2 linked regions of the Diceros bicornis minor genome follow. The protein of the gene in region 1 interacts with the protein of each later gene in a biochemical or structural test. Links are inferred from orthologs where the notes say so. Each region holds a gene or a part of one and is shown in the gene's direction. Other genes may lie near its edges. The genes, in order: TERT and CIB1.

Evidence for each region.
Region 2: the proteins of TERT (region 1) and CIB1 form a complex in vitro, tested with the Homo sapiens proteins (2 studies listed by BioGRID). The link is inferred for Diceros bicornis minor from reciprocal best matches to the Homo sapiens genes TERT and CIB1.

The regions. Positions count from the first base shown.
Region 1 is NC_080759.1:61,422,874-61,437,434, forward strand, and holds the start of TERT (telomerase reverse transcriptase), read left to right. Parts: upstream 1-8,518; 5' UTR 8,519-8,521; coding exon 8,522-8,740; intron 8,741-8,881; coding exon 8,882-10,274; intron 10,275-14,182; coding exon 14,183-14,378; intron 14,379-14,561. UniProt on the Homo sapiens protein: Telomerase is a ribonucleoprotein enzyme essential for the replication of chromosome termini in most eukaryotes. Active in progenitor and cancer cells. Inactive, or very low activity, in normal somatic cells.
Region 2 is NC_080744.1:93,848,493-93,863,315, reverse strand, and holds CIB1 (calcium and integrin-binding protein 1), read left to right. Parts: upstream 1-7,516; 5' UTR 7,517-7,581; coding exon 7,582-7,632; intron 7,633-7,761; coding exon 7,762-7,796; intron 7,797-8,904; coding exon 8,905-9,013; intron 9,014-9,974; coding exon 9,975-10,125; intron 10,126-10,268; coding exon 10,269-10,387; intron 10,388-10,460; coding exon 10,461-10,549; intron 10,550-10,788; coding exon 10,789-10,810; 3' UTR 10,811-11,047; downstream 11,048-14,823. Other genes in the region: SEMA4B (semaphorin-4B), read right to left, coding at 12,591-13,330, 13,598-13,683. UniProt on the Homo sapiens protein: Calcium-binding protein that plays a role in the regulation of numerous cellular processes, such as cell differentiation, cell division, cell proliferation, cell migration, thrombosis, angiogenesis, cardiac hypertrophy and apoptosis.

The DNA.
Region 1 (14,561 bases):
CATTCAATGCAAGAGAAGGCAGAAAAATATGGAAAGAGGAACAAAGAACAGATGGGAGAAATCAAAAACCAGTAGCAATATCTTAGATTTAAGCCCACCCATATCAATAATCACATTACATGTAAGTGGTTTAAATACCCCACTTAAAAGGCAGACATTGCCAGACTGAATAAAAAGGCAAGACCTAGTTGTATGCCGCCTACAAGAAGCCTACTTGAAATAGAAAGACTAACAGGTTAAAAATAAAACATTAAGAGAAGACTCTCCCCGTTAGCATTCATAAAAAGAAAGCTGGACAGACTATATTAATATCAGGAACAGTAGACTTTAGAGAAAGAATATTACAAGGAAATAAAGTCTTTTCATAAAAGTAAAGGTATCAGCTCATCAAAAGGACATAACAATCCTAAATATTTATACACCCAATAACAGAGCTTCAAAATATATTAAGCAAAAATTGTTAGAAATGCAAAGAGAAATAGTGGGATCCACAACTATAGGAGATTTCAACAGCTCTCTCTCAGTAATTGATGGAACAAACCTACAGAAGGTCTATAAGAACACAGAAGACTTGAGGGACATCACCAACCTGTGGGACCCTTTTATAGACACTCCATTCAATGTCAGAATACACATTCTTCTCAAAAGCACATAGAACATTTACTAAGAAAGACAACATTCTGGGCCATAAAACAAGCCTGCCTAAATTTAAAATGATTCAAGCCGTGCAAATTATGTTCTCTGGCCCCAGTGGCATTAAATTAGAAATAAATAACAGAAAGATCTCTGGGAAAAATCTCCAAATATTTGGAAATTAAACATCACATTTCGAAATAACACCTGGATCAAAGAAAAAATCAAAAGAGGAATTAGAAAGTACTTTGAACTGAATGAAAACTAAAACAAAAAATATCAAATTTGTGATAGCGTGATAGTAAGACGAAAGTACAGCTGAAGCAGTCAGTAAAGGGAATTCATGGCACTAACAGCCTATAGTAGGAAAAAAGGAGGCTTCAGTGTCCTCAACTTCTACCGTAAGAAACTAAAAAAGCAAATTAAATCCAAAGTAGAAGAATGTAATAAATATAGCAAAAATCAATGTATAGGAAAAAAAAGCGAGTACAGAAAATTACTGAACTCAGAAGGTTGTTCTTTGAGAAGATCAATAAAACTGACAAAACTCCAGGCAGACCAATTAGGAGAAAAAGAAAGAAAACACGAATCACAGCATCAGTGATGAGGGAGGTGACATCACTACAGATTCTTCACATATTTAAAGAATAATAGAGAATATTACGGATATGCAAATATAGTCAACAATTAAGACAAAATGGACAAATTCCTTGAGAGACACAAACTACAGAAGCTCGTGTGAGAAGAACTAGGTGACCTGAAGAGCCCTCTATCCATGTAAAAACTTGCATTTGTGGTTAGACCTTACCACAAAGAAAACCCAGGACCAGAGGGCTTCAGGGTAGATCCACCTAATATCTAGGGAAGAAATGACACCAGGGCTACACAGACTCTTCCAGAAGACTGAAGAGGACGGGGTGCTTCCCCACGCACCCCACGAGGCCAGCATGGCAGACAGACACAGCCAGAAAGGAACAGTGCAGACAGCAACTTCAGGACTCGCACCTGAGCAGCCCTCAAGCTTCTCTGCCGTTGTGGGCATTTTGGCATCTTTCTTTTTTGAACCTCACGGGAAATCTTCCTTGTATCTTACAAATGAGCCTCCATTTCCTCACTCGGGTTTCTCAGGTCACAGACCTTCTTTCCTGAAGTACACTCTTCAGAATTGGGCTGCCGGTAAGATCCGTCCAGGTTTATCCAGACAAAGCATCTTTATTTCACCTGCGTTCTAGAGGGTGTCACTCACAAGACGGTGGCTTCCTCGGGGTCCCTGCGGGCCTCTTCCTGTGTCACCACCGCTGGCGGTCATTCTGTGGGGAGTGGTCTGTCTTCTCCCGTCTGAATTTAAGCTGTTCTTTTTGACAGTTGTGCAGCCCCTTCTCTCGTTCTTTGGTGTGTAACACACTTATGTCAGTGGTGTCTTTGTGTCCTCCATCAACAATAGAAAACGTCACCATTTTCCCTCAAACAGTGCCTCTTCCACACTTTGCCCCCTCTCTCCTGCGATCTGCTCCATTCTTCTCTCTTAATCTCTTCCCGTTTCCAGTCTTCTGTCTCCCTATGCTGAAGTCTGTAGTGTTTTCAGCTAGACCGTTTTCCATATTGCCAATGTTCTCTACTGTGGTACTTCATCTTACAGGATTTTTATCATCATTATTCAGCCACATATGTATAATCGTAGACGTTCCACTTGACTCTGAATCCTCCTGGTCTTTTAATAGTCTTGCCCCTTGCCCTACCTTACCTTCCCACTCTTTGTTCTTAGATTTACAAAACAAATTTGTGCTGTGCTATGAATCTCCTTCAGTAGCTACAGACTCTGCGTCTGATTCTGTTGTGTTTTGTTTTTTATTTCTGCCCTCTCCCGTCATGGTGCTTTGTTCTCTTGTGTGTTTGGAGGTTTCTGATTGTGTGTTCATATGTGATTAAACTTAATCTCTAGGAGCCCTGAGACCTAGAATGTTGATGGTCCCTTCCAGGGAGAATTAGCGCTTGGTCCTATCCCAGGAACCTGGCTCTGTGGACGTGAGGTGCCCTGAGATCTCTCAAGGGCCCCGCTCCACAGGACTAGGGGAGGAGAGACCAGGCGATGCGGATTTCTGAAAGCCAGAGTAAAAAGTCTGGACTTCATTCTAAGCAGCAGTGAGGAGGCATTAGTGGGTATTAGCAAGATGTGACACGCTCTTACTTGTGCTTTTCAAAGATCATTCCGGATGCTCCCTGCAGACTGCAGCTGGCAAGAATGAAGGAGCTGGAAGCCTGTTGCAACAATGCCAGAGATGACAATGGCTACATGTGCACGTGCCAGAGAGGAATCAGGATGGCCCCTGGGATGGTGGCTTCATCTTTCCTTTATCTTAGGCAGTGACCGAGCTGTATCTGTAAGGAAGGTCGAGTTCAGTCCCTCCTTTTGCGGAACTGCTGAAGCCCTCTGCTCAGGAAAACTCAGAAACCCGGCTCCATGGTCATTCCCTCTTTTCTCTCCCCATCTCCCTGCTCTTCTGATGGGAACAGAGCCGCCCAGGGCACTGATTTGCCCAGCCCTGAGTTTCTCGGACCCCAGTGAGGCCCCCTCCTGAAGGGCTTCATGGAGGCGGCACTGACCCTGTGCCCTGAGCTGGGGAACTAGGATGGTCTGGGCCGGGAGTGGGTGTTCACAAAGGGAGTGATGAAAGGACTTAATTCTGTCAGTAAATTCTACCTTTCCACATCCCAGTGGATCATTTTATCTTACTGCTTTCTTAAATTTCATCAAATGACTTTCAAGAGTGCAGAAACCCACAGGCGTGCAACCGGGACCAAGCTGTGTTTGCCAAGGTGCAGGGACTGAGGATCGCGTGCAAAGGGATTTTTAGCCTTGAGCACATTTTATTGGTTTTCATAAGGTGATTTAAGGTGCGGGAGAAAGTATACAGAGACCTGGAAATAGATCAGGACGGATTAATGGGGCAGAGCTGCCAAGGGCAGAAGGTAAACGCCTCGTCTGCCAAGACAGTGGGGAAACATGGCTGTTTTCCCTGGGCACTGCCAGACCCAGCGAGGCTCTGGCAGCAGAGCTTGGCGTCAACCCAGGACTCTGACGCCCAGGCAAGCCATGTCCCCAGAGGCCCCCCCAACTCGCTGCCTTTCTCCTGGCTGTGCTGTGTCTCCCCAACCAGTGGGTGTGTGGGGGTACACTGGCCTTGGACTCCACAGTCCCAGCTCTGCCCCAAACGATCGGGATTTTCAGGAACCACCCGCTCCGAGCCTGTGAGAAAGGACGATGGCACCGTCCACCTGCTTCCCGGGGCTGCTCAGAGACAAGGAGCTCGTGGGCACGAAATCTCCGTGAGTCGTAAAGCTCTATACAAGCGAAGGCCATTATTCCTAGTTATTTATCTCTTCCACTAAGACTTAAAGGAGTGTTCCAGGAACCCCTGCAGGTAAGACAAACCACGCAAAGCAGAGGCAGAAACAATCTCTGCTTCACTGTGCTCCCGGGACCTGCCCGGACTCCTGAGTGAAGAACCTGGGGAGAAAATAAAACGGGGGTGCTCTGAGCCCCCAGGATGGGGTCATAACAGCAGCGGAGCATTGGGTTCCCTAGATTCAGGGAACCTGGGAGACAGAGGACAGACTCCGAGGTTCCGTAGGGCAGCCCCCCCTACGTGGGGGTCCATGCTACCAGGGACGGGGCTCCGTGTCGTCTGCTCCATCCGCCTCCCAATGAACCCCTTGGCTCTCCCTCGGGCCCACACGGAGGTCAGGCCCCTCTGCCCCTCTCTGCTTCTCCAGAAAACACTTCCTACACCCAGGTCCATAAACCTGCCTCATGGCTTTCTCTCGCCTCTCACCCCACGCCTGGTTGCAACAACAGTGCTTCTTAGGTTGTCTTTCTCCTAGGCCAACATCCTCTGAGCCAGAACCAGCCTCGAGCCCCAAGCGCAGGTCCTGGTGTCTTGGCCTGGCGCTCTGGCTCAGTCAGCGCCCTGCCACCCCCCCCAGGACCCCTCCCACAGTCTGCATTGTCGGGGCCCCTCAGGACCACGTGAGAGGCACTACACCCCACAGAGAGGCTACAGTGAAAAATCGTGACACCACCAGTGCTGGCAAGGACAGAGGAATGGGAGTTCACACACGTGGCTGGTGGGAATGCAGAATGGCACAGCCCCTCTGGAAAACAGTGTGGTGGTTTCCATAAACACTAAACAATACGACCCAGCAATTGCACTCCTGGGCATGTACCCCGGAGTAATGAAAATGTATGTAATTATGTACAAAATCCCGTCTACAAAGGTTCATAGCAGCTCTATGTGTAATAGCTTGAAAGGCGGGAAAACTAAATGTCCCTCAACAGGCGAACGGTTAAATTAACCGTGCACACCCACACCTCGGAATGAAGGCTGCTCCGAGACATGAGGGAGGTGGACCATCGACACACCACAGCTACACGGAGAGAGAAAGCCAATCTTGGAAGCTCACGTGACACAATGCCATTTATACAGCCTTCTTGAAATGACACAGTTTCACCCCAGAGCAGGCTGGTGGTCACCAGGGGTCAGGGAGGCCGGGAGGGCTGTGAGTGCAGCAGGGGCAATCCTGGAGGTGGTGGGACAGTCCGCATCTTGGTGGTGGTGCTGGTCACACAAATCTACACAGGAGATAAGATGACGTCGACCTGTACACACTCACCACGCGCCCAGGTTAGTGAGTTACGGGGGGTTAACCACTGGGGTGCTGGGGGGCCCAAGGCAGAACTGGGCCCTCTCAGCAGCTGTACTGTCTCTGCCACGCTGTGTCATGGGCAGACTGATGCCCCAAAGATGGCACATCCTAGTCCTGGCACCCGTGTGACCTCACCTGGCACAGGACTACGCAGATGGGAGTACGTTAAGGATTTTGAGGTGGGGGCATGGCCCTGGATCATCCGGATGGCCCTACATCAATCTGAAGGTCCTTGTGAGAGGCGGCAGGAGGGTCAGGGTCACAGAGGGAGATGTGATGATGGAGGCAGAGGGTCACAGAGAGCTTGGAGGATGCCTCGTTGAAGGCTCCACCAGGGAGCGAGAGGGTCAGGGCAGCACCAGGGGGCCTGCCTGTCTGTCCCAGTGTCCTGTCCTCCTGCCCCAGTGCTGGGCTTGGGATTGCACCTGCCTTTCTGTCAGCAAGGGCACGGTGTTGACCCCAGTCTTTGTTATGCTACCCCCTTTGTGGTCAGCTTCCATGAGGACAGAAGCCCGTGTGCATCCTGTGATGGGGCACTGGGTCTGTTCTGGCCGCTGAGACCTGTCTGGATCCCGATTCTGCTGTCCCACGTCTTGGCTCCTCCCCCAGCGGCAGGTCTGAGACACAAGCCACGTGCTCCCCCAGGACACTGCCAAGAGGGTGCCAGGCGGGGTGTGCGAGGTGCCCCAGGCGTGCCATCGGGTGGGTGTGGGGCAGTGCATGGCAGTCACTACCCTCCCCGTGCTGCCCTCCAGAGCCGGCTCTCCTGCCACCCCAGCCCCCGAGCCCTCAGTCCAGTCACTGTGACCCAGGAGCCACGTGGTGCCCCATGAACACTGAGCCCATGCACGGACCAACGCCGACCACTTACTCAGACGTGACCCTGTGCTCGTCACCGCACAGCCTGGAGGTGACGGATTCTATTTCCTCCCCATGCTCGGGGCTCAGCCTCTGTGGGTTTCTCTGTGATCTGCAGACCAGGGACCAGTGGCCTGTTGGTGTCTCTACAGGTTCTTGGAGCAACCAGAAAGGGGCAGCCCGCAGTCCAGCGGGGGCTCCCTGACTGTCTCTGCAGGGGACCCCCAATGTCCAGGTACTGGGCACACTGTTGAAAATCTCTTCATGTCGGTCCCCCTAGTTCCTTAGTGAGCCCCTCACTCACGCAGGGGGCTCCTCCCACTCCTTCAGTGACCGATGATGCATCAGGAAGCAGCAGGTGTGAAGTGTGACGCCCACGTCCCCTTCTGGAAGTCCTAGAACGGGATTTCGCTGTTGTATTTCTCGTAAGCCAACAACATACATTTTTTCTTGGTACGTTTTTCATGTCTGAAGACACAGTGATTTAAGACCGTGACCAGTTTCTCGCAGAGAGAAACCGTGCACAGGACACTGGAGGGAGCATTCCAGAGGGCGACGATTTCCATCTGAGCTGTATACTGACACACTGTTCATCACGCTAGCATGGTTTTCTGCCTCGGTTTCCTCTATTCTTTTTTTTTTTAATTATGTTTTCCATGCTGGTTTCTCCAGGTGAACCAGCGTACTGTTGTTGGAAAAGAGCAAATTTCCCGGAAGCAGCCCAAATCCTCCAGTGGCAGAATGAGCAGTTCTCAAACGCAGCCTTGGGCCTTGACCGTGCCCACTAGACACACTTCTGTCTAGAACAACAGCCCCGATCCCAAGTCGCATGAGCCCTGGCAGACCCTGATCCAGCAGACAAATATGAGACGCCGTCTGTCCAGGGAAGAGAGTGGAGGCTTGTTTAAATGCCACAGCCTTGAATACAATTTCCTGACTGGGTTTCTTACCTCGTGAAAGATTAACATTTGTTCAGCCTGTTCACTGTTTGCCACGGGCCTCTGGAGACCCAGAAGTTTCCCCATTTCTTAGCGACGCACACGTGAACATCCCACAGTGTCTGGGTTCGGGTGGAATCTCATTATGGTGACTCCTCTAAGCTGTCCTGTTCATGTGACGAGCCATTGTCAAAACTGCCCTCCTGGGTCTGGGGAGGGGCGACTCGTGGGGAGGGTCTCCACCCCTTGGCTGCAAGGCGGGGGCTTCTGGCTCTCTCTGGGGCACTGCAAGGCTGTAGGCGGATCCCTTGACCTGTCCAGTCTCCTCTTCCTCCCAGTGTGTGGGAGGGCAGGTGGTTCTGGGGGCTCGGGGATGAAGGCAGCCATGGGCAGGTGACACCACATTGGGAGCCTGCGGCTCCATTTTCTCTCCTTCCTTTGGTGGATGACCTCATGATCATTGATTATTAGGGAACTGATTTGGGGTTTTTGTGTATGGTTGGGACCACAACAGAAGCCTAAGAACCCGGAAAGAGAAACTACAGCCCGGGATCAAGGAGACCAAGTCGTCAGGGGAAGTACTGCACTGACCGCTGACCACTGCCAGCTGACTGCTGCCCACTGACCACGTGGCAAGGCCTGCCCACTGCACGCTGACCATTGACCGCTGACCACTGCCCACGGCGGGAAGAGCTCCGGGAGCACCACCTCATGCCCGTCGAGGATGCGCCTTTGCCCTCAGTTTCCCCCAACCCCGCCAGGCGGGAGCAGCGGTGTCCATTTTCTCCTTTCCAACGCACCTCATGACACGTTCGCTGTCTTGCTCCTTCCAAACCCCTTCTGCAGGACCCCAGAGCAGCCCTCTGTGCCAGGGTCACGGCCCACGTGAGAAAGTGACAACCCAGAAGGACCCTCTCCCCAGGGGGCGCAGAGCGCACCAGGTCCCTCAGGGACCCACGTTATGGTCCCCTCTCTCGGGTAACCCCCAGAGCCTCTCCGCCGTGAGACCCTTGCTGCGACCCCTGCACCCTGGGATGGGTGAGGGGGCTGCCAGGGTGCAGCTGGGCGGTGGGGGCACGCCGGGTCCTCGATGACACCTGGACGCGGGAATCCGCGGGCCGCAGGGAGGGCAAAGGCCGAGCACCTGCCTCCCGCGACCCCGCCCCTCGGGCCCGGCCAGACCCCGCCCCCGGGCGCTGGGCGACCCGGCCCCTTCCTCCCTCCAGCCCCGCCCCTCCGCGCGGCCCCCGCCGGGCCCCGCCCCTTCCTCCGTGCGGACCCGCCCCCGCCCCGACCCTCCCTCTGCCGCGCCGTGCTCAGGTGGATGCAGCTCGCGCTGCAGCCGCGTGTCTGCGCACGTGGAGCCCCGGCCCCCGCCCTCGCCTGCGATGCCGCGCGCGCCCAGGTGCCGGGCCGTACGCGCCCTGCTGCGGGGCCGCTACCGCGAGGTGCTGCCACTAGCGACCTTCATGCGGCGCCTGGGGCCCGAGGGCCGGCGGCTCGTGCGGCGCGGGGACCCGGAGGCCTTCCGCGCGCTGGTGGCCCAGTGCCTGGTGTGCGTGCCCTGGGACTCGCAGCCGCCCCCCGCCGCCCCGTCCTTCCGCCAGGTGGGCTGTCCCCGGGGACCTGGGTCGGGCGTGCAGGAGTTGGGGAGGGAGGGCCGTGAGGAACACGGCAGGACGCGGGCTGTGCGCCCCGGGTTCCCGGTCACCTTTGTCCCCGGCGAGTCAGAGCCCCCCCTCCCGCAGGTGTCCTGCCTGAAGGAGCTGGTGGCCAGGGTCGTGCAGAGGCTCTGCGAGCGCGGTGCGCGGAACGTGCTGGCCTTCGGCTTCGCGCTGCTGGACGGGGCCCGCGGCGGGCCGCCCGTGGCCTTCACGACCAACGTGCGCAACTACCTGCCCAACACGGTGACCGAGACGCTGCGCAGCAGCGGCGCATGGGGGCTGCTGCTGCGCCGCGTGGGCGACGACGTGCTTACCCACCTGCTGGCACGCTGCTCACTCTACCTGCTGGTGGCCCCGAGCTGCGCCTACCAGGTGTGCGGGCCGCCGCTCTACGATCTCTGCACCACCGCCGCGGCTCGGCCTGCCTCGTCTCCCTGCCGCCGGCCCACGCCACACGCGGGCGAGAGCCGGACGGGCCTCCGACCCACGCGCCAGACCTGGAACGGCGGCGACGTGGGGGCCAGGGGACCCCCAGGGCCACCAGCCCGGAGCGGGAGGCGGCGTCGGGTCAGCTCTGGGGGAAGTCCACCTCCAGCCAAGAGGCCCAGGCGTGGCCTAGCTGGGGAGCCGGAGCAGGGGCCCGTCGGGCAGGTGTCCCGGGCGCACCTGGGCAGGGCACGTGGGCCAAATGACACCGATCCCCACGTGGTGACACCTAGAGAAACCGCCGTGGAAGCCGCGTCTTGGGAGGGCGAACCGCCGAGGACCCGTCTCCCCGTCCCCCCTCTGCACCGAGAGCGCGAGGCCGGCTCCCCACCCACGCGGCGGTCACCGCGGCCCCGGGGCGCACACGATCCCCGAGTGTATGTCGAGACCAAGCACTTCCTCTACTGCTCTGGCGGCAAGGAACGGCTGCTCCCTTCCTTCCTGCCCAGCTGCATGCAGCCCAGCCTGGCAGGGGCCCGGAGACTCGTAGAGACCATCTTTCTGGGCTCGAAGCCCGGGCGGCCAGGGCCTTCCCGCAGGACGCGCCGCCTGCCCGCGCGTTACTGGCGGATGAGGCCCCTGTTCCGGGAGCTGCTTGGGAACCATGCGCGGTGCCCCTATGGCGCGCTCCTCAGGACGCACTGTCCGCTGCGGGGCGTGGCCACCCCAGCAGGGTCCGCTGACCAGGGGTGCGGTGGAGTGGGCGTCAGCGCCCGGGAGAGGCCAGCGGCGGCCCCGGAGGAGGACGCAGGCCCGCGGCGCCTTGTCCAGCTGCTCCGCCAGCACAGCAGCCCCTGGCAGGTGTACGCGTTCCTGCGGGCCTGTCTGTGCCGGCTGGTGCCTGCTGGCCTCTGGGGATCCAGGCACAACGAGCGCCGCTTCTTGAGGAACGTGAAGAAGTTCGTCTCTCTGGGGAAGCACGCCAAGCTCTCCTCGCAGGAGCTGACCTGGAAGATGAAAGTGCAGGACTGCGCCTGGCTGCGGAGCCCAGGTGAGGAGCCCGGGGAGGAGGCGGCGGCCCTGCAGCATCAGGCCCCCACCCGGAACGCAGCAGAGCCCCTCCCTACGCGGGTAACCCCACCTGTGGCTGTCGGGTGGCTCATCTGATTTCTCTGCCTCTGATCCCCTCTCCCATCTAGTTTTCATAAAACTGTAAGACCCACGTATAAACCTACGAGACCCTCATGGACTCAGGCAGGTTCTGGCAGACAGCAGATGGGACACACGTGGAGTAGGGCTCTGGCAGCAGACAGAAGTGTCCGAAGTTCTCCTCAGCGGGCCGACGGGTTATTCAGGATCCCTTTTTTGACATCAGGGTTTATCACCTTGAAATGGTGCCCCACTGATAGAAATGGGAGCTGGGAGATAAGCCTCCTGAGTTTCCTGGACACACCTGCTCAGCCACGCCTGCTCAGCCACGCCTGCTCAGCCAGCGTACAGATCTGAATTTAAGTTTTGATGTGTGTCTGCTGTGCCTGGGCAGGGCAGACAGAGGAGGGTAGAAGAACTGTCTCCTGAACAAGGACCCAGTCCCATCTTTAGGAAGGAAAGGGTCACCAGGGCGACGGGAGCGGCAGGGCTCTCCTGTTTCAGGGAAGTGGCCACCACCAAGGGTGCTGGCGGGGCTGCAGCTGGGGCTGCAGTGTCCCTCCGGCTTTGATTTTCTCGGTTTGATGTTGAGGTTCCTCTGGTCCAGCCACCACTCAGCCCCCTCTCTCCCAGTGCCTTCCTGGTGGGCACACCAACACCACGAGTGGACAGGACCAGCCACCACCCTCCTCTCCCTGATGGTGCAGCAGCGGCCAGCATGGGCCCCAGTGTTTTCGGCTTGACCCCCCCCCAAACTCCCACAACACCCAGGACTCCTAGAAGAAAGAATGGCAGAGCCTTCGTCAGAGCCACGTCTGCCCATGGGCTGCACGTTACAGTCTCCTGGGGTGGGGACTTTAAATATGCCCCGCCCATCCCCAAAGATCTCGATTGCCATGGCCTCCGTTGGGGGGTGCGGGGCACACCCTTTCTGGCTCCCCAAGAGGCTCTGCGGCCAGGTGATGCGGACGAGGTGACCTTCCAGCAACTGGGTTTTTTAAGGTTTTTTTGTTAATTGTGGGGGGGAAAAACACATGAGGTCTGCCCTCCTAACAGATGTTTAAGGGTACGGAACGGTATTGCTGAGTGTAAGCGCGGCGTCGTACTGCTGGTCTCTCTGGTGTTCTCATCTTGCGTGACTTGGCGCCTGTTGGCCAGCAGTCCCTGCCACATGTGACAGCGTGGATGAGCTGGGAAGGCGTCATGCTCAAATGTGTTGTCACATGACTCGTTTGTGCCCTTGGGGCTCCAGTTTGCTTTGAAAGGAGAGTCTGGGTTCTGTAATTTGGCTCCCCGATTTCAGATGAGGTCTGCCGTGCCCCTGTGTCCTGTGGGCACGAGGAGGTGTTGTTTCCCAGGCAGCTGGGACCCAGCCCCTGGACCACCCGGCATCCTCGCTGGCTTGAGCTGTGCCCAGGCGTGTGCCCCTTTCCGTGGCTGTGGCCCCGCGGTTGCCTACTGTCTGAATAAATGATGCACAGTATGGCGTTGGCCTCTGAGCCCCCTTTCCTGGTCACCTCTTCCGTCCTTTCCTGCTGGGACGCCCCTTCCTCTGTGCAGGTCGTCTGCCCTGCCAGGCACTCCATCAGCCCCCCTGGGCTCATTTGCCTCTGTCAAGCCAGCCTTGACCATTGTCCTGTCTGCTTGCTGCCCACTGACTCCCCTCGGCTCTCTGGTCCCCAGCGCTGGAGGCCAGACTTCTGGGGAGTCCACATCTGCTGTCAAGTGTTGCTAGAGATGTTGAAAAAAGGATTCCTGATGGCAACTCGGAGGTGCCTTGGCCCCTTGCTCACTGCCTCTCCCCTGGGCCCCTCATTGGGCTGGTGGCAACCTTTGCTCTCTTAGCCTGGGCGCAGATCAGGCTGCGCTCTGCCTCCACTGGCCCTGTCCCATCAACTGACATCTGACCACACGATCACTCTCCCTAAACTGTGGTCAGGGTGTATCCCTCCTGCTGAGGCCCCCTTGACCTTCAGAGTGGAGCCCCCATGTCCAGGGGGCCTTGTCGGGCCTCTCATGGATCTTTGTTTGAACTTGGCTAAGTTCTCTCTGGGGGTGAAGTTCTTTCTGGGGTGACATCCTTCCCTCTCTTTCTTCAGGGTCACTCAGTCATCCCACTTCTAACTTCTCCGGTGAGCATTTGGCTATGTGTTTCCCTCTCAGTGCTGCTTTAGCTGCACCCCACATTGGGCTGTGTCACTGCACATTTTGATATCAATTGGTTTTAAGTGTTTTCTAGCTTCTGTGATTTCTTCTTTGATCACGAGTTATTTAGATGTGTGTTTTTTATTGTGCAAATGGATGAGTATTTTAAATTATCTTTTTGTTATGGATTTCCAGCTCAGTTGTGTAGTGGTCTGTATGATCCCAGTTATTTGAAGCTGTGGAGACTTGTTTACGTTCCTTGTGTATTTAGAGGCCTGTGGCTGGTTGCTGTGTTCACCACATCCAGCTTATTAAGGTGCCGGAACACCGAGAGGGTGTGCAGTCTCACTCGGGGTGGGTTTGTCCATTTCTTCTTGTTCTCACGGTGTTTACATTGGGTTTTATTAGGCGCCTGCATGTTTTAGGATTTTTATCTTCCTGGTGAATGTCTAGGCGTGCATTTTATTAAAGTCCATTTTCACTGTTGGCAGAGCTGCAGCACTGGCTTCCTTTTAGTCACTGCTTGCTTCTCATATCTTTTTTTGTTGTCTAATTTTTATTTTCAACCATTTTTTAGGTATGTCTTATTAATAGCATGCAGCTGACATTTTAAATGTTTTTTCAATCCAATCTGACATCTTTGCCGCTGACCTGGAGAATCCGATTTCTTTCCATTTTTTTGTGATTACAGATGTGTCTGGATGCTTCTCTTTTCTCTCTGTTTCCAGTTTGTCTGCTTTTTCCGTGTCCTTATTCCTCATTTCCTGATGATTGTGTGCTCTCTCTCGCCATGTGTTCTCATTCTGGTTTTCCCTCCTGGCAGTTAGAAATTACCTGTTCTGTCTCCCTCTCTCACTGGTTACCTTCTCCCGAGCAGCCCGGGCCTCAGCGTGTGTCAGTCTGATCTCACCACTCCTGCTCCTCCCGCTGACTTCTCTGTGTCCACCTCAGACACCGTTGTTCCGCGTCCTGTGATCAGGGTTTGCTGCCTGTACCCCCTCTTTCTCTTCCTTCATTCACCATTCTGTCTTCTGTCTCACGCCTGCCTCTGGATCCCCTTTCTTCTCCTTTACACAGTGCTTCATGTCGGTTCTTGGTGGTAAAGCCCAGGCTCCACGTGTGCCGTGGCCCCTGTGGCAGCCTGGTGACACCTGTGGCCCTCTTCTCATGACATCTCTACGTGCATAGAATAAAATCAGAGCACTGCAAAGGAAGGCAGACATCCCAGCCTGTGGTGCATGTCGGAGCCCCCGTGGCATGTGGTATCCCTTAACTAGTGTGTGAGCAGCTCTGCTCACCTGGGTTGGTCAGCCTGGAAAACCCCAGGCATTTCTGGATCTTGCTGCTTGGTGACGATGCCTGAAATCGTACAGATCAGCGTAAAAAAGGAAAAGGTGAAACCAACTTAAAAATGTGTTTCCTTAAAGCCCAGTATGTCCAAACTGTTGCCACTGGAACACATGGGCAGGAGAAGCACCGTTAACAAGATGCTCCGTATTCTCCCACTACCCGGTCTCTGAGAGCCGGCGTGTGGGCTGCGAGGACTGCATAGCTCAGTGGGACCTGCCCCGTTTCCAGCGGCCGTGGCTGCCTTGAGGATGGTGTAGACGGGCGAAGCTCGCTGGGCCTTGGGTGAGACGTGGCTCCGTGCCTTTCTCGTTCCAGGGGCCCACTGTGTCCCAGCCTCAGAGCACCGGCTGAGAGAGGCGGTCCTGGCCAAGTTCCTGTGCTGGCTGCTGGGCACGTACGTGGTCAAGCTGCTTAGGTCATTCTTCTACGTCACAGAGACCACGTTTCAGAAGAACCGGCTCTTCTTCTACCGGAAGAGTGTCTGGAGCCAGTTGCAGAGCATTGGGATCAGGTATCACAGCCCGAGCGTCACCCCTGCGTTTCCTCCGTCTGCGCAGACGCTGGCCCTGACTCCTGCTCCCGGCTCCCCAGCCCCTCCACATGGGTCCATCACCCCCACTACTCTGGGGGGTGTGGGGCTCTCGGGGCCGGGAGCCAGGGGACTCCGTCATGGTCCTGACGCATGAGGGTCCCA
Region 2 (14,823 bases), on another chromosome or scaffold:
TTTTGATCTTATTACAAAAGTAATGTATGCTGTTGGTAAACCATTTTGAAAACACGGAAATCACTCATAATTCCGTCACCTGCAGATTAGTCTACGTTTTTGCTGAATTAAAAGTATATATCAAATTTTTTTCTTTCTAAAAATTATATATATTGAGTAAACTTTCTTAATGGAGAAAAAATAAACTACAATCCTTATTTCAATGCCCAGGGAAAATAAACAATTTACATTTAGCTTCATTTTCATATACAGTCATGTGTCGCTTAATGACGGGAATACATTCTGAGAAATGTATCCTTAGGCAATTCTGTTGTTGTGCGAACATCATAGAGTGTACTTACACAGACCTAGATGGTATAGCCTGCTACACACCTAGGCTATGTGGTACTAATCTTATGGAGCCACCGTCATATATGCACCGTCATATATGTTGTTAAGCGAAATGTCATGTGGCACATGACTGTACAGATGGATCTTGATTTTTTCAACCAGTCTTTAACTGTTGGACACATAAGTTGTTGCCAAGTTCATATTATTATACACAATGTTGTGATGAACATTCTGTGTATTTATCTTTGCAGAGGTGTTTTTATATTCCTTTAAAATAAAATCCTAGTAGACCACTGGGTCAGAGAAGGCTCATAGCTCAGGCTTTTGATGGACACTCTATCAAACTGCCCTCCAGAAAACTGTACCAGGGTTTCAGTGTATGAGAATGGCCAGGGTTTCAAAGCTGACCACTCCTGTGTGGGAATAGCTTTTCCACTGATAGTGATTCCAAATGGCCAAGCATGGAGCCATCTGGGTGAGAATGGCCCAATGTGTGCATACATGCCCAGGGCCAATCCTTCAGGGGGAAGTCGGTACCTGTCTTCATCTCCCACTGAGCCCCTGGAGCCCTGTGGACCCAGAGGTGTCAGGGAGAGGGTCCTACTGTTAGCCAAGATAAGACTTCAGAAGGTGGCTTACCTCAGGAGAGTCGCTTCAGTCCAAATTTGCGTTCCCTCAGCTCTGCTGGTCCAGAAACTTCACATTAATAAAACAGAAAGGAAACATGACAAACATACAAAATGACATATCATAAGTTGAGTTTAATGGGTATAGAGTTTCAGTTTTGCAAAATGAAAAAGTTCTAGAGATTGGTTGAACAACAATGTGAATAGACTTAACACCACTAAACTGCACACTTAGAAATAGTTAAGATGATGAATTATATGAGTTTTTTACCACAATAAAAAAGTTTTTTAAAAGTCAAGCTATGCATAATTTTGACAATAAAATGCAAAGTCTTAAATTATTCTATTAAAAGTGAGTCTCAGACATTTCTCCAGAGAAGATACACAAATGGCCAACAAGCACATGAAAGATGTTCGACATCTCTAATCATCAGGGAAACGCAAATCAAAAACACAGTGAGATATCACCTCATAGCCATCAGGATGGCTACTATCAAAAAACCAGAAAATACAGGGTTGGTGAGGATACAGTCATGTGCCACGTAACATTTCAGTCAACGATGGACCACACATACGACAGTGGTCCAATAAGATTAGTACCGGGGCCGGCCCCATGGCTTAGCGGTTAAGTGCGCGCTCTGAGACTGGCCGCCCGGGTTCGGATCCCGGGCACACACTGATGCACCGCTTGTCTGGACACGCTGAGGAGGTGTCCCACATACAGCAACTAGCAGGATGTGCAACTACGACATACAACTATCTACTGGGGCTTTGGGGGAAAAAAAGGGAAAAAAAAAGGAGGAAGATTGGCAATAGATGTTAGCTGAGGGCTGGTCTTCCTCAGCAAAAAAGAGGATTGACATGGATATCAGCTCAGGGCTGATCTTCCTCACAACAAAATAAAAAATAAGATTAGTACCATATAGCTTAGGTGTGTAGTAGGCTATACCATCCAGATTTGTGTAAGTATACTCTATGATGTTCACACAACTACAAAATCGCCTAAGGATGCATTTCTTAGACCGTATCCCCATGTTAAGTGACACATGACTGTACAGAGAAATTGGAACCATTGTGCACTGTTGGTAGGAATATAAATGATGCAGCCACAATGGAGAACATGAAAATTCCTCAAAAAAGTAAAAACAGAATTACTATGTGATTCAGCAATTCCACTTCTGAGTACATATGCAAAAGAACTGAAAGCAGGGTTTCAAAGAGATAGTTGTACCCTCATGTTCACAGCAGCATTATTCATAATAGCCAAAATGTGGATGTAACCCAAGTATCCATCAATAGATGAATGGATAAACAAAATGTGATACATACATACAAAGGAATATTATTCAGCCTTAAAAAGGAAGGAAATGCTGACACATGCTACAACGTGGGTGAACCTTGAACATATGTATGTTAAGTGAAATAAGCCAGACACGAAAGGACAAATATTGTATGATTCCACTTAAATAAGGTACTTAGAGTGGTCCAATTCATAGAGACAGAAAGTAGAATGGTGGTTCCCAGAGGCTGGGGGGAGTGAAGAATGAGGACTTGTTTGTTGTTTAATGGGTACAGAGTTTCAATTTTGCATGATGAAAGAGTTCCGGAGATTGGCTGCACAACAATGTGAATATACTTAACACTACTGAAGTGTACACTTAGAAATGGTTAAGATGTCAAAATTTATGTTATGTGTTTTTTACCACAATGAAAAACGGTCAAGATGGTAAATTTTACGTTATGTATATTTTACCACAATTAAAAACATTTTTTTCTTTTAAGCAAGTCTCATGATAGATTTGAGAAATCCAACAATTTGCTGAGCTATACTTAAGACAGTATTCATTACTCTCTCATTAATTCATTCATTCATTCAGCGTCAATGCCTACCTCGGGCCCACTCCTGATGTTCTGGCAGCAACTCTTCTGTGCCCTCTGCTGCATGTTCAGCTGAGCCACAAAACCCATGTATTTATGACGTAACTGTTGCGTATGAGACAATGAAGACACAGTGGCAAATAAGGCAAACAAGGTTCCTATCCTCATGGAACTTACACCCTGTGGTGGAGTCAGACGACTACCAAAATGAACATGTTAACCACCCATGGTTATAGCATTCTGTGGGAAATAAACTAGTGATACAATAGAGGGTAACTAAGAGGTGGGATCAGGACATCCTACTTCAATAAGAGGGCAGGGCAGGGCTCTCTGAGATGACAGCTGAGCTAAGACATGAAGGGTAAGAAGAAGCCTGCAGTGAAGAGCTGAGGAACGTGTGTTCTAGACAAAGCTAACTGCAAGTCCAAGGCCCTGAGCCAGGCAGGCACTTGGCCTGTTTGAGAAACAGAAAGGAGGCCAGTGTCATCAGAGCATGGACAACAAGGGGAACAGGGCCCCAGGTGAGGCTGGAGAGGAGGCAGGAGCCAGGTTAGCTGCAGGGCCTTGTGCAACGCAGTCAAGTCCAGCTACAATATGCTTGTGTTAAGGATTTATTTAAAACCCAAGGAGCGGGGCCGGCCTGGTGGGGTAGCGGTCAAGCGTGTGCGCTCCGCTGCAGCGGCCCGGGGTTCACAGGTTTGGATCCCGGGCGCGCACTGATGCACTGCTTGCTAAGCCATGCTGTGGTGGCGTCCCATATAAAGTAGAGGAGGATGGGCACGGATGTTAGCCCAGGGCCAGTCTTCCTCAGCAAAAAGAGGAGGACTGGCAATGGATGTTAGCTCAGGGCTAGTCCTCCTAACAAAAACAAAAACAAAAACAAAAAACCCAAAGAGCTTGGATTTTATTCTAAATGGAATAAGAAATCACTGGCAGGTTCTAAGCAGGACTATCTGATATTTTATATATCTTTTTCTAACCGCTGTGTAGAAAATGGATTGTAGGGGAGCAAAGAGGAAGGAGAGAGACCATTTCAGAGGCCACTCTGGTAGCCAGGTGAGCAATGAGGGCAACTGGACAGCATCGTAGGCAATAGAGATAGAGAGGAGCAGGGAATGTGGGTCATGTTTTGAAGGCTGAACCAAAAGGGTCTGCTGACATGCTGGCTGTGGGGACTGAAGGAGAGGGAAGAACTGGGAGCGACTTGGCTCCAGGAACTAGATACAATGCACTGGCATTTACAGAGATGAAGAGGCTGGGAAGGTGGGTGGGAAGAGGTTGACTAGAGGAAGGGGGGAATCAAGGGTTTAATTTTGATTACAGTCATGCGTAGTTGAATGATGGGCATATGTTCTGAGACATGTGTCATCAGGCGATTTCGTCGTTGTGTGAACATCATAGAGTGTACTTACACAAACCTAGATGGTAAAGCCCAGTACACACTTAGGCTCTATGGTGCTAATCTCACGGGACCACCGTCAGGTATGTGGTCCGTCGTTGACCAGAACGTCATCATGGGGCATGACCGTATTGAGTTGAGATGCAGCTGGGCATCCAAGAAGAGAAGTGGTGTAGGCAGTTGGATAGTTAAACTTGGAGGTCAAGGGTAAGGTCTGGGCTAGATATAAATTGGAGTAACATTTAAAGCCAGGGGCTAGGACCAAAGACCCAGGACCAAGACGACACCAAAAGGCTAAAAATATGAGTAAAGACATATCAATCAACAGAATCAATAAAAAGTGGGTATGGGCATATTTATATTAAAATGAACTAGTACACAAAAAGCATTACCTAGGGATAAAGAGGAATACTTTAGAGTGACAAATCAGTAGTGACCATGTGACAGAATTCAACCTTTATAGGAAAACCAGGAGAAAGGGAACACTAGTTGCATGTCTATCTCATACCAGGCATGGGCTGCGGGGTTTCCAAGTCCACTCAGGTGACCCTGACAACAAGCCTGTAAGGTGGGTAACATCCCAGGAAAAGAGTGAGAGACTAGTTTTAGAGGCTGACAAGGTGTTTGAATTCTACCTCTATCATTCATTGATGCGACCTTGAACCCCTAGAATAAAGTTCATTTCCTTAGCACGGCCTCTGGGCACTCAAGGCTTAGCTCTGCCTCCCTCTCTCACCTCATCTCCTACCACTCTTCCCCTTCCCTACTCTGCTCCCTCACTCTCACTAAGCTTGTTCCTGCTCATGGCCTCAGCACTTACTATTCTGTCTGCCTAAAATACCCTTTACCCAGATTTTCTTCACATGGCTGGGTCCTTGAGGTCTCAGACCAAATGTCACTGCCTCAGAGAAATCTTCTGTGGCCACCCTATTTAATGACCCAAGGAAAACAGAGAGAAGGAAACAATATTATAAGCAGGGAAAAAAATGTCTTGGAAAACAAGAAAAAAGGAGAATACATAAATCCAAGAGTTGGTACATTGCCAAAAATATGATCTACAAACAAGCCTTTGAAAAACCTAAGAAACAAAATGTTACAATAAGCAGCACTAGAAGCTATTTTTAAAAGTTTATCAGCAATTCAGTTTTATCACTGCATCAAGAGTTGATCACACACAAGAAGCACAATATGCTAACCAGACTCGCCAGGGACTGCTGGGTGACTCAGAATGCCTATTTAATAATTTACAGTGAGAAACATGCCAAACAGCACAAAATGTTCTTATTGGCTGCTCAGTATAGTCCCTCCTCTGTACAAAAATCTACCAGGAAGCAAAATTATCCTCAATGAAGAAGGGTTCAGAGCCAAGTGAGGTGGCTGGGAGATCTAGATCACAGCTGGTCACCACGGCACAAGGCCGACTCCCACATCTTCCCGTGAAGAGATACAGTCTCACCTCGAAGTCCAGGGATCTGCCTTGGCTGGCCAGTGCTCCCTCTCCTCAGTCTAGTACAGAAGACACAGTAACAGCTTCTTGCTCTTTGCCTACCCTTTTACCAACTGAAGACCAACCTTTTCTTGGACAGAAAGAGACCACTATCAAGAGAAAAATGATCATGTTGGGACAGCACTATACTCCAGTCACTTTGACTGGTTTTGGTGTTTCCACTGCCCTGCAGCCTCCACTTCTTGGAATGGAATATTTCCACAACGGTGGGACTCAATGTTGATATATTGAATCTTACTAACGTCACTCTCGGATGATCACTTTATTATTGAGTGCTGGGAAATCTAGTCACTCAGCAAACATTTACTCAACAACTGCCACATAGCAGGTCCTGGAGATCATGATTCTCAAAGCTCATGGGGCTTCCAGTCTAGTGAGGGAAACAGACATTCACTCAATCATCACCCAAGTAAACATAAAGTGCAAACATGATACATGCTGTCAAGAAGCAATTGTGAGACAGATTCTCAATCTAGTCTGGGGAATCGGGAAAGGCTTCCCTGAGGATAAGACGGAAGAGGCACTGAGAGCCCAGAGTGGCTGAAAACAGAGAGCCTGAGGAACCAGTAGAGGGAGACGCCAGAGTTAGAGTACAGGGGGCTAGAATTTGGGTTTTTACCACTTAATGGTTAAATGGTTAAGACCGAAATGCTCAGCTTTAGACTTTACAAAGATCAGCAAGTAGAATGACTTGGAAGAATCCAAAACTAATCCCTACAATTTTGTCAATTATACTTCAATGAAGCTGAAAAAAAAACAAAAAAAAGAATCTCACCTCCACCTCCTCCTCTCAGCAGCTTGGAATCCTCTCCTTTTGAAATAACGTAGGTTCATTCATTCATGCATGCATCCAGTAAATATTTACTGAGAGCCGCCTATGTGCCAAGCATTGTTGTAGGGGTGGAGCAAACAGGTCAGCCTCAGTCCCTATCGCCCCGAAGCACGCAAGTCTGGGCGCAGGGTGGGGGTCAGAGGAGAGCATGCAGGCAGGAGTGAGGAGTACAGCAGTTGGGAGGCTCGAAAAGAGCCTCACACTGGAGCGACCGCTTTCACAATGCCCGAGCCTAGACAACTCACCAAGCCCTTCTGGACACTTGTAACGTTTCCACACTTGTAAAATGGGAACCGACCTTGCAGGCCTGTTGTAAGAACCGGAGATAACTAGGCACAGCGCTTGGCATACAGCTGGCCCTCAGCAGAAGGCCTCAGCTGGCCGCAGGGTTATGGTGACTTCTGGAGAGGCGGCACTAGGGCTGTAACACGTGCGGCGAATGCCGGGTGGTAACGCCAGGATGGAAAAGCCCTCGCCGGGCAGAGGGGCAGCCGACCGCCTCTGGCCACTCAGTTAGTCTCGAGTTTCCCGGTTACCCTAATTCCAGAGACTTCCCTGATGCCCCTTACCGGACCCCGCCCAAAGCCGCCGCATCCGCGGCCACCTTCAGCAGGTGAGGAGGACTCACCACGCGAGCGCGCCCAAGCTCCCACCAGGGCCATAGCGAGGTCGCGGCGCCGTCCACGCATGCGCAGCCTGCAAGCACGCACGGGGCGCGACCCGACACGCCCACCTCGGAGGCGGGGCCGTGCGGCCCGGGCTCCGCCCCGGAGCGTCCGGCTCCGCCCCGGCCCCGCCTCCAGCTCGCCGGGGACCGCCTGGAGTCGGGAGCCGGCCTGCTGAGCCCGGCGGAGAGCGCCTGGGCGCTTTAAGGAGGGGGCGGGCGCCGGGGCCGTGGCCCCAGGGGCGGTTGCCGCGGGGACGGGGCGGGGACGCGGCCCGAGAGCGGAAGTGAGAAAGTTGCCGGCGTCCCGAGGCGAGTTGGCAGAGCTGTGCGCGCGGCGCTGCGATGGGGGGCTCGGGCAGTCGCCTGTCCAAGGACCTGCTGGCCGAGTACCAGGTGCGCGGGACGCCGGGCCCCAGGGAGCTTGCGCGCGGGCCTGCGCTCCGGAGCGGGATCCCCGAGCCGGGGGCAGGGCGGCGCGGCCTCCGGGCGGCCCGCTGAGCTCCGCTCTCGTTTGCCTTCCAGGACTTGACGTTCCTTACGAAGCAGGAGATCCTCCTGTAAGTGCTGTCTCGATCCTCACCTCCAGGACCCCCTAGAGGCGGCTTCGGGGGGGCTCTTACAGATGGGCAAACTGAGGCCCCCCACAGGGAGGGTCAGGGGCCTGCCTGAGGTCAGCAGCTGAGCCGGAACTGGAGTCCAGGGCCCCGAGCCCTGGGCTGTGTGCCCTCTTCCCGGCACGCCCTCCCCACTCGCGCCCGGGGCTCCAGCTCTGCACCGCGGAGCCACTTCGTAGCCTCCGGCCCAAGTTAGGCGCTCTTTGACCCTGTGCTCCACTGGCTTCTGCAAAACCGAACTTCCGCCCCAGTCCGGCAGGAACTGCTGTGGCTCTCGGACGACCTCGCCTACTGGCAAAGCCGCAGAAGCCTTGGGGAACCTGGCTCCTCCTCCCAACTTTACCTGAATAATTCAGTAACCGTTAACGCTCACTGAGTACTTACCCTGCCCAGGAACTGTGCTAAGTGGTTTGCCTACATTACGTAATTTAATTCTCATGGGAGAGGTACGGGGACAATGAAACAGGTTCAGAGAAGTTTGGTCGCCTGCCTAAGACTACACTCCTAGTAAGAGGATTTGAACTGAGGCTGGAACCCTATTCCTAGTCGTGTGCCAGCTTTTTGTGGCCAGGGCACTTGAGTAAGGAGATTCCTGGGCTTCCCTTGGCAAAAATAACCTCAGTGGGAAGGAGGTGGGGGGCTGAGGAGGAGATAGTTCAGGGCAGCTGCTAAAAAGAGGGAGGCTTTGAGGAGCAGGAAATCCCTGGAGTGAAATGAGAAGGAGATTTCGATTTTGCTCTTTTCTCCCTGTTCTTCAGGGCCAACTTCTGACTCCTTCCCCAAACTTTCCACCCCTCAGGGAGCTCTGGAATGAGGGCCCAGCACAGTGCCTGACACACAGCAGGCACTCAGTACATACCCATTGCAAGAATGGACTCCCAGCCTGTACTGTCTTGTGATGTCCCTCCCTTCGGCTTATCATGCCTGATGACTCAGAAGTTCTGTTTAGGTGGCTTAGCTCCTCACCTGGTTTGCAGTGGGTAGCAAGGCAAGGAGTGGGGATGCAACACCCACGAGAAGGCGCACCAACAGGTTCCCCTCCTTCTGCCAGAGCCCACAGGCGGTTTTGTGAGCTGCTTCCCCTGGAGCACCGGACTGTGGAGGAGTCACTGCAGATACGGGTGTCCTTGGAGCAGATCCTCAGCCTTCCAGAGCTCAAGGTGCTAGCCCCCCACCCTCCCTCTGCTACTCATTGCTCCCCATTCTGGTCTTTTCTCTGTGTATCCCTAATTTCCTGAGGGCAAGGGCTTTACCAAAATCGCCTGATGGAATTATCTAGAATGGTGTTTTTCAAACTGGGGTTCTGGGACATATTCTTGGAGGTTCAAAGTTTTGTCCTTTAAGAGGAGTTACCTTGTTAAAATTTGAGAAACTCTATTCCAGAGGCAGATTGCCTTTCCATAGGGCTGCTGTGAAAATTTCCATGCAAAGGGCCTGGGCTAGCACTTCCAACAGTAAGTGTTAAGTAGATGTCTGTCTTTTATTTTTTTATTTTATTTATTTATTTTTTTAAACAGTTTTATTTATTTATTTTTTTGTGAGGAAGATCAGCCCTGAGCTAACATCCGTGCTAATCCTTCTCTTTTTGCTGAGGAAGACCAGCTCTGAGCTAACATCTATCACCAATCCTCCTCCTCTTTCTTTTTTTTTCCCCCAAAGCCCCAGTAGATAGTTATGTGTCATAGTTGCACATCCTTCTAGTTGCTGTATGTGGGACGCGGCCTCAGCATGGCCGGAGAAGCGGTGTGTCCGTGCGCGCCCAGGATCCGAACCCGGGCCGCCAGTAACTGCTAAGGCCCGGGGCTGGCCCTGATGTCTGTCTTTTAAAATAACCAGCCTATCCTGTTCTCTTTGCTTAGGATGTCTTCCTCTTCCTTCTCTGTCCCCCAGCCTGCCTTTGGGTTAAACTCCGACTCCCAGGAAGCCATCCTGTCCCATCCCCAGCTGGGTCATTGGTCCTTCTGCCCTCCATGCTGGCCCCAAAGTACTGAGGTTCTCCCTCGTGAGCCTGAGCTCATGGTGCGAGTACCGTGACCTGCTCCCTCCAGTTCCTGGTAGGGTTTGATGAGTGTGCGACCTGGGCTGCGTCCTGTGGCGTTCACAGAATGCTCTCTTGCCTAGGCCAACCCCTTCAAGGAGCGAATCTGCAGGGTCTTCTCCACATCCCCAACCAGGGACAGCCTGAGTTTCGAGGACTTCCTGGACCTCCTCAGTGTGTTCAGTGACACAGCAACCCCAGACATCAAGTCCCACTATGCCTTCCGCATCTTTGGTAAGGACCAGGCGGAGCCTGGTGGAACACCGCCCCTTCCCACGTGGTCTTTGCAGTGGTACCGCTTGGGAGCTGGGAGTCATTCATGGAGCCTTGAAGCTCATCTTGACCATATCCTTTTTGGCTTCCTGTCTGCTCTTTAGACTTTGATGATGATGGAACCTTGAACAGAGAAGACCTGAGCCAGCTCGTGAACTGCCTCACGGGAGATGGCGAGGACACCCGGCTCAGTGCTTCAGAGATGAAGCAGCTCATTGATAATGTGAGGGGCTGGGCCGGGCCAGGGAGCAGGAGGGAAAGGTTGGGGCTTTGGCCTGAAGCTCTCCCTTTCCCAGATCCTGGAAGAGTCTGACATTGATAGGGATGGGACCATCAATCTCTCTGAGTTCCAGCATGTCATCTCCCGTTCACCAGACTTTGCCAGGTATGACAGTGGTTCCCATCTGCTGCATCTCTGTCTTGGATGTTATTATGGGAGGTGGTGCCCGGTCTGAGAGAAAGCCTCCTGCTTCCTCTGAATGTATCACGGTAGCTCTTCTTCTACAGGGGACTGCCAGGTGTGGGACACAGCCCCTTCCAAAGGGTCTTAGGGGAGAGGTGGGTAAGTTTGGGTTTAGTCTCTATTCTCTTCCAGCAAAAAACCCAACCCTCTCTTCTCGTCAGCTCCTTTAAGATTGTCCTGTGACAGGAGCCACAGCATGTGTCCCAGCACCCTGTTGAAGAACCTTTTCACTCCTGAGCTGTGGCCAAGGTTATGCCTGTGTCGCCACGGCTGGCCAAGCTGGCCCAGCCTAGAGCTGGCACTGCACAGTCTTGCCCCGGGCAGGGGAGGGGCCTCCATGTCAAGGCCTCTCCCCTTCTCACTGCCAATGTCATCACTGTTTGTTTCTACTAATCAATAATAAAGGTTTAGAAGTTTTGACTCTGTGTGTGACACTACAAACACTGGTATGAAGAAGGACTGGACTTCTAGCAGCCTTTGGTCATATTGAGAAAAAGTAGGACCTAAAGAAAGGGCCAGCAGGAAGTCAAACTGTACCCACCCCTCCCACCCTCTCGTGAGGATGTGCAGCTGAAGGGTAGCATCAGGACAGAACTCTTCTGTATCCTGGTGGTGGTGGTGGTGGTTACATGAATTCCTACATGTGTTAAACTTTATAGAACTGTATACCATAAGAAAAAAATCAATTTTACTGTGATAATTTTCACAACGAACATTTTTTGAAGAGTTAAAAAAAAACAAACCACCCTGTCACCTGTGCCCCTACCCCTGAACTGAACTAGAGAAGCAAAGTAAAGGGGCTGAAGTAAACTGAACAATCCCCCACCCCTGCCCCATAGTGCGTTAACTCACCACCTTAAGAACCGTGCTCCACAGGGGAGACAGTCAGTCAGCCAGGCTAGGCTGGCTCTGGCCCACTAACCCCTCAAAGAGGAGGCTCAGAACCTCCCAGATCTCAGAGAACTAGACCAACTTCAAAGAGCAACAGTCCTCTAAAAGGAAGGGCCACAATTCAATTTCAATTCTTTAGATTTTATTAAAAAAAAAAAAAAAAAGTAAAGTGCGTCTTGTTTAAAAAATATAAAACCCACATCAACTCAAGACCCCTGTGCTGGGCAGTGTCAGTATCCCTTAGATGGAGGCAGGTGATGTGTAGGGGGTGAACTGGGGACTGGGCCTGAAGACAAGGCTAGGGTAGATGTGGGGAAGAGGGACACACAGGTTCTCTCGGCTGTGATGGAGGAAGGCAGGCAACAGTTCCTTCCTTGGGTTCCGAGGGAAAGGTCTAATTGTCATCAACTCTCTCCTGGGCTCATGCGCTGCCCTCTCTGTCATGTAGCCACAGCCTGATATAGGCTGGAAAGGCCCAGCGGGTGGGTCCGAGCCCCGGGGCCGGTGAGGGCTGCAGCACTGGCGTAGCTCCCTGGTCCCTGAGGTGACAGGATGATGGCGGTAACAACTTGGCCAGTCAGCAAGGCAGGACTCACAGCGCCAGAGCTGGCCCTGGCTCTGCGGGGAAGGCAGAAGGTGGAAGAGACTAGCTGGGGGGGATTTCCAACTGTCTCAAACACCCACTTTGGATGAGTCTCCAACGCCCCTGCAGGGCCTTGCTGGGGGGCCGTGAACTGGAGCGGCTGTTTGCTTGGCATTGTGTTGTCTCTCACTCTTCTCACTCGTAATTCACATTTTCAATTGTCTTTTAAACAAAGGGCTCAGTTTACATAAGGAGCACTGTTCTGCCCACCTGGGCAGGCCCCCATCTTCAGCCAGGACCTCCGGGACCATGGCTATCTCGGTTGGAGAGGACCTCGCTACTTGGCTGAAAAGCAGCAGGCCAGCTGGCCCCATCGATCCCAAGGGCTGGGCACCATGGCTGTGTTCCACGAGGAGCAGAGGTCCAGCCGACCCCCTCTGAGGACTCCCGGCCCTTGAAGCCAGGGTGGCCTCCTCTAGAAGTCTGCTCTCATACCACAGAGTCCCGGATCTCAGAGCCCAGGCGGACCCGGGGCCGGGGGCACACCGGGGACACCTCCACGAAGCTGTCCTGGATGCTGAGTGGCCTCTTCTCTGACTCAGTGAAGACCCGGGGCTCTGGGGGGCTATCTGACAGGGCTTGATAGCCTCGGTGATCAAGTGGGGTGCTAGGGGGGCCCATGCCGTTGAGTGGCCGGGTCTCAGGTGGCAGCACCACAGGGCGGGTCTTGGGGTGCACACTGGCACACTCCCCCTGCTTCAGGAAGACTTTCATGCCACCCCGGTGCCGGTACAGGAAGAATAAAATTAGGAGCACCACGGCGAACACAAACAGCGTGCACATCACCAGGAACTCGGTCCAGTAGGACTTGTCCTCACCCCAGCTGACCTCGTCGCTGGCTGGAGCACTCACCCGCGACGTGTTGATAATGACAGGCACGCTGCCACTGTGGTCCCCTCGGTCTGCCACCTCCTCTACCACCTTTGGGCAGTAGCTGGTTACTAACTGCCGGAAGCCCTCCTCCAGCGACCAGCACTCGAACACCCCCAGCTCCTGCTGGCTGCCCACCAGCAGCAGGTCCCCAGTGGGCAACACACGGCGGGAGGCTGAGGCATTGACAGGGGCCCCATTGTGCAGCCAGAGCCGGGCCGCCAGGTTGGAGAGAAGGGGGCAGGTCAAGGTGTTCACCGTGTTGGGCTGGAACTGGACTTGCTCACATGGCTTCTCGCCTGTGGGCAGAAGAGGCACAGGGTAAAGGGGGGCTGGTGTCCATAGCAGCCCCAGGCTCACCCACCTCCCTCTGGACTGTGCTCCTTATGCCATGACAGGCAACTCTGGGGACTTCAGGGACTGTGAGGCTCACTTCCCAGGGTCCTGCTTGTAGGGCTGGAGGGATGAAGATGTGAGGAAAGGCATTTACACCCACCAGTGCCTGCAGGAACCTTCCAAGCAGACTTGGCTCCCACCTCGCCTCCATCTTTGATGGGGCACCTTACCTGCTGGTGCAGAAGACCGGGGCCTGGCCGAGGAGGTGTTGCAGAGGTCCCTGGCGTTAGCCCCCTCGATGTCCTGGATCCATGGCCTGAGGACCAAAGAGAATGTGAGATAGGCCAGGAACCCCCCGTGAGCCCGTATCCCCCCACTCTCAGCACAGCACAGGCCCTCATGCAGTCCTGCAGACACAGGGCTTCCTGGGGAGGGGTCTGGGGCTCAGGGACACCAGGCCTGAAGCAGGGTAAGAAGCAGAGTTTCCCCAGGCTGATTCCCCACCCTCACAGGGTTTGAGCCAGCGTCTCTTTCTACACAGTATTTACTTCAATAAAAGTTACTATAATACTTCCCTGATTACAAAAGCAGTATGAGCCTTTAAAAAGTCTGGAAGGACAGCTGGATCTATATGTACGTATCCGTCTCTTTTAAAGCAATGCACATGCACTGACTTGTTTAATAAAACATAATAAGGAAGAAAAGTAATTCTTGATACACTCAGAAAACCTGAAAATCTCAACCAAGACAAAGGCTAAAGACACTACAGAAATCACACACAATCAACCATCTAGCGACCGTCACAGGTAGAATTTGGAGTGTGTCCCTCCAGGTGTACATATGTGTACTCATATGTGCTTTTTTGAAATATAAAACTAGCACCAGGGGTCCCTCTATGTGAAGCAAGGACATTACAAATGGGACAGATCTCATTTTTACTTAAAATATGTGAATATTTATTTTACACATATTTAGAAAAATCTGGGATGATATACATATATCAAAATCTCAGAGATTCTCTCTAAGTGGTAGGATTGGGGATAGTTTTTATTTTGTTTGTGCTTATCTCTATTTTCTTTTCTTTTTTTTTTTTGTGAGGAAGACCAGCCCTGAACTAACATCCAATGCCAATCCTCCTCTTTTTTTGCTGAGGAAGATTGGCCCCAGGCTAACATCCTTGCCCATCTTCCTCTACTTTATATGGGACGCTGCCACAGCATGGTTTGACAAGCGGTGCGTCGTGCATGCCCGAGACCTGAACCTGCGAACCCCGGGCCGCCGAAGCGGAGCACACACACTTAACTGCTGCGCCACCGGGCTGGTCCCCTTATCTCTATTTTCTAAATGAACATTTTATAATCCAAATAGGTTATTCTGAAAAAAAAATTGTTGTTTTTTTTTTTTTTTAAAGATGAATAGCATTTTATTTATTTATTTTTTTTGTGAGGAAGATCAG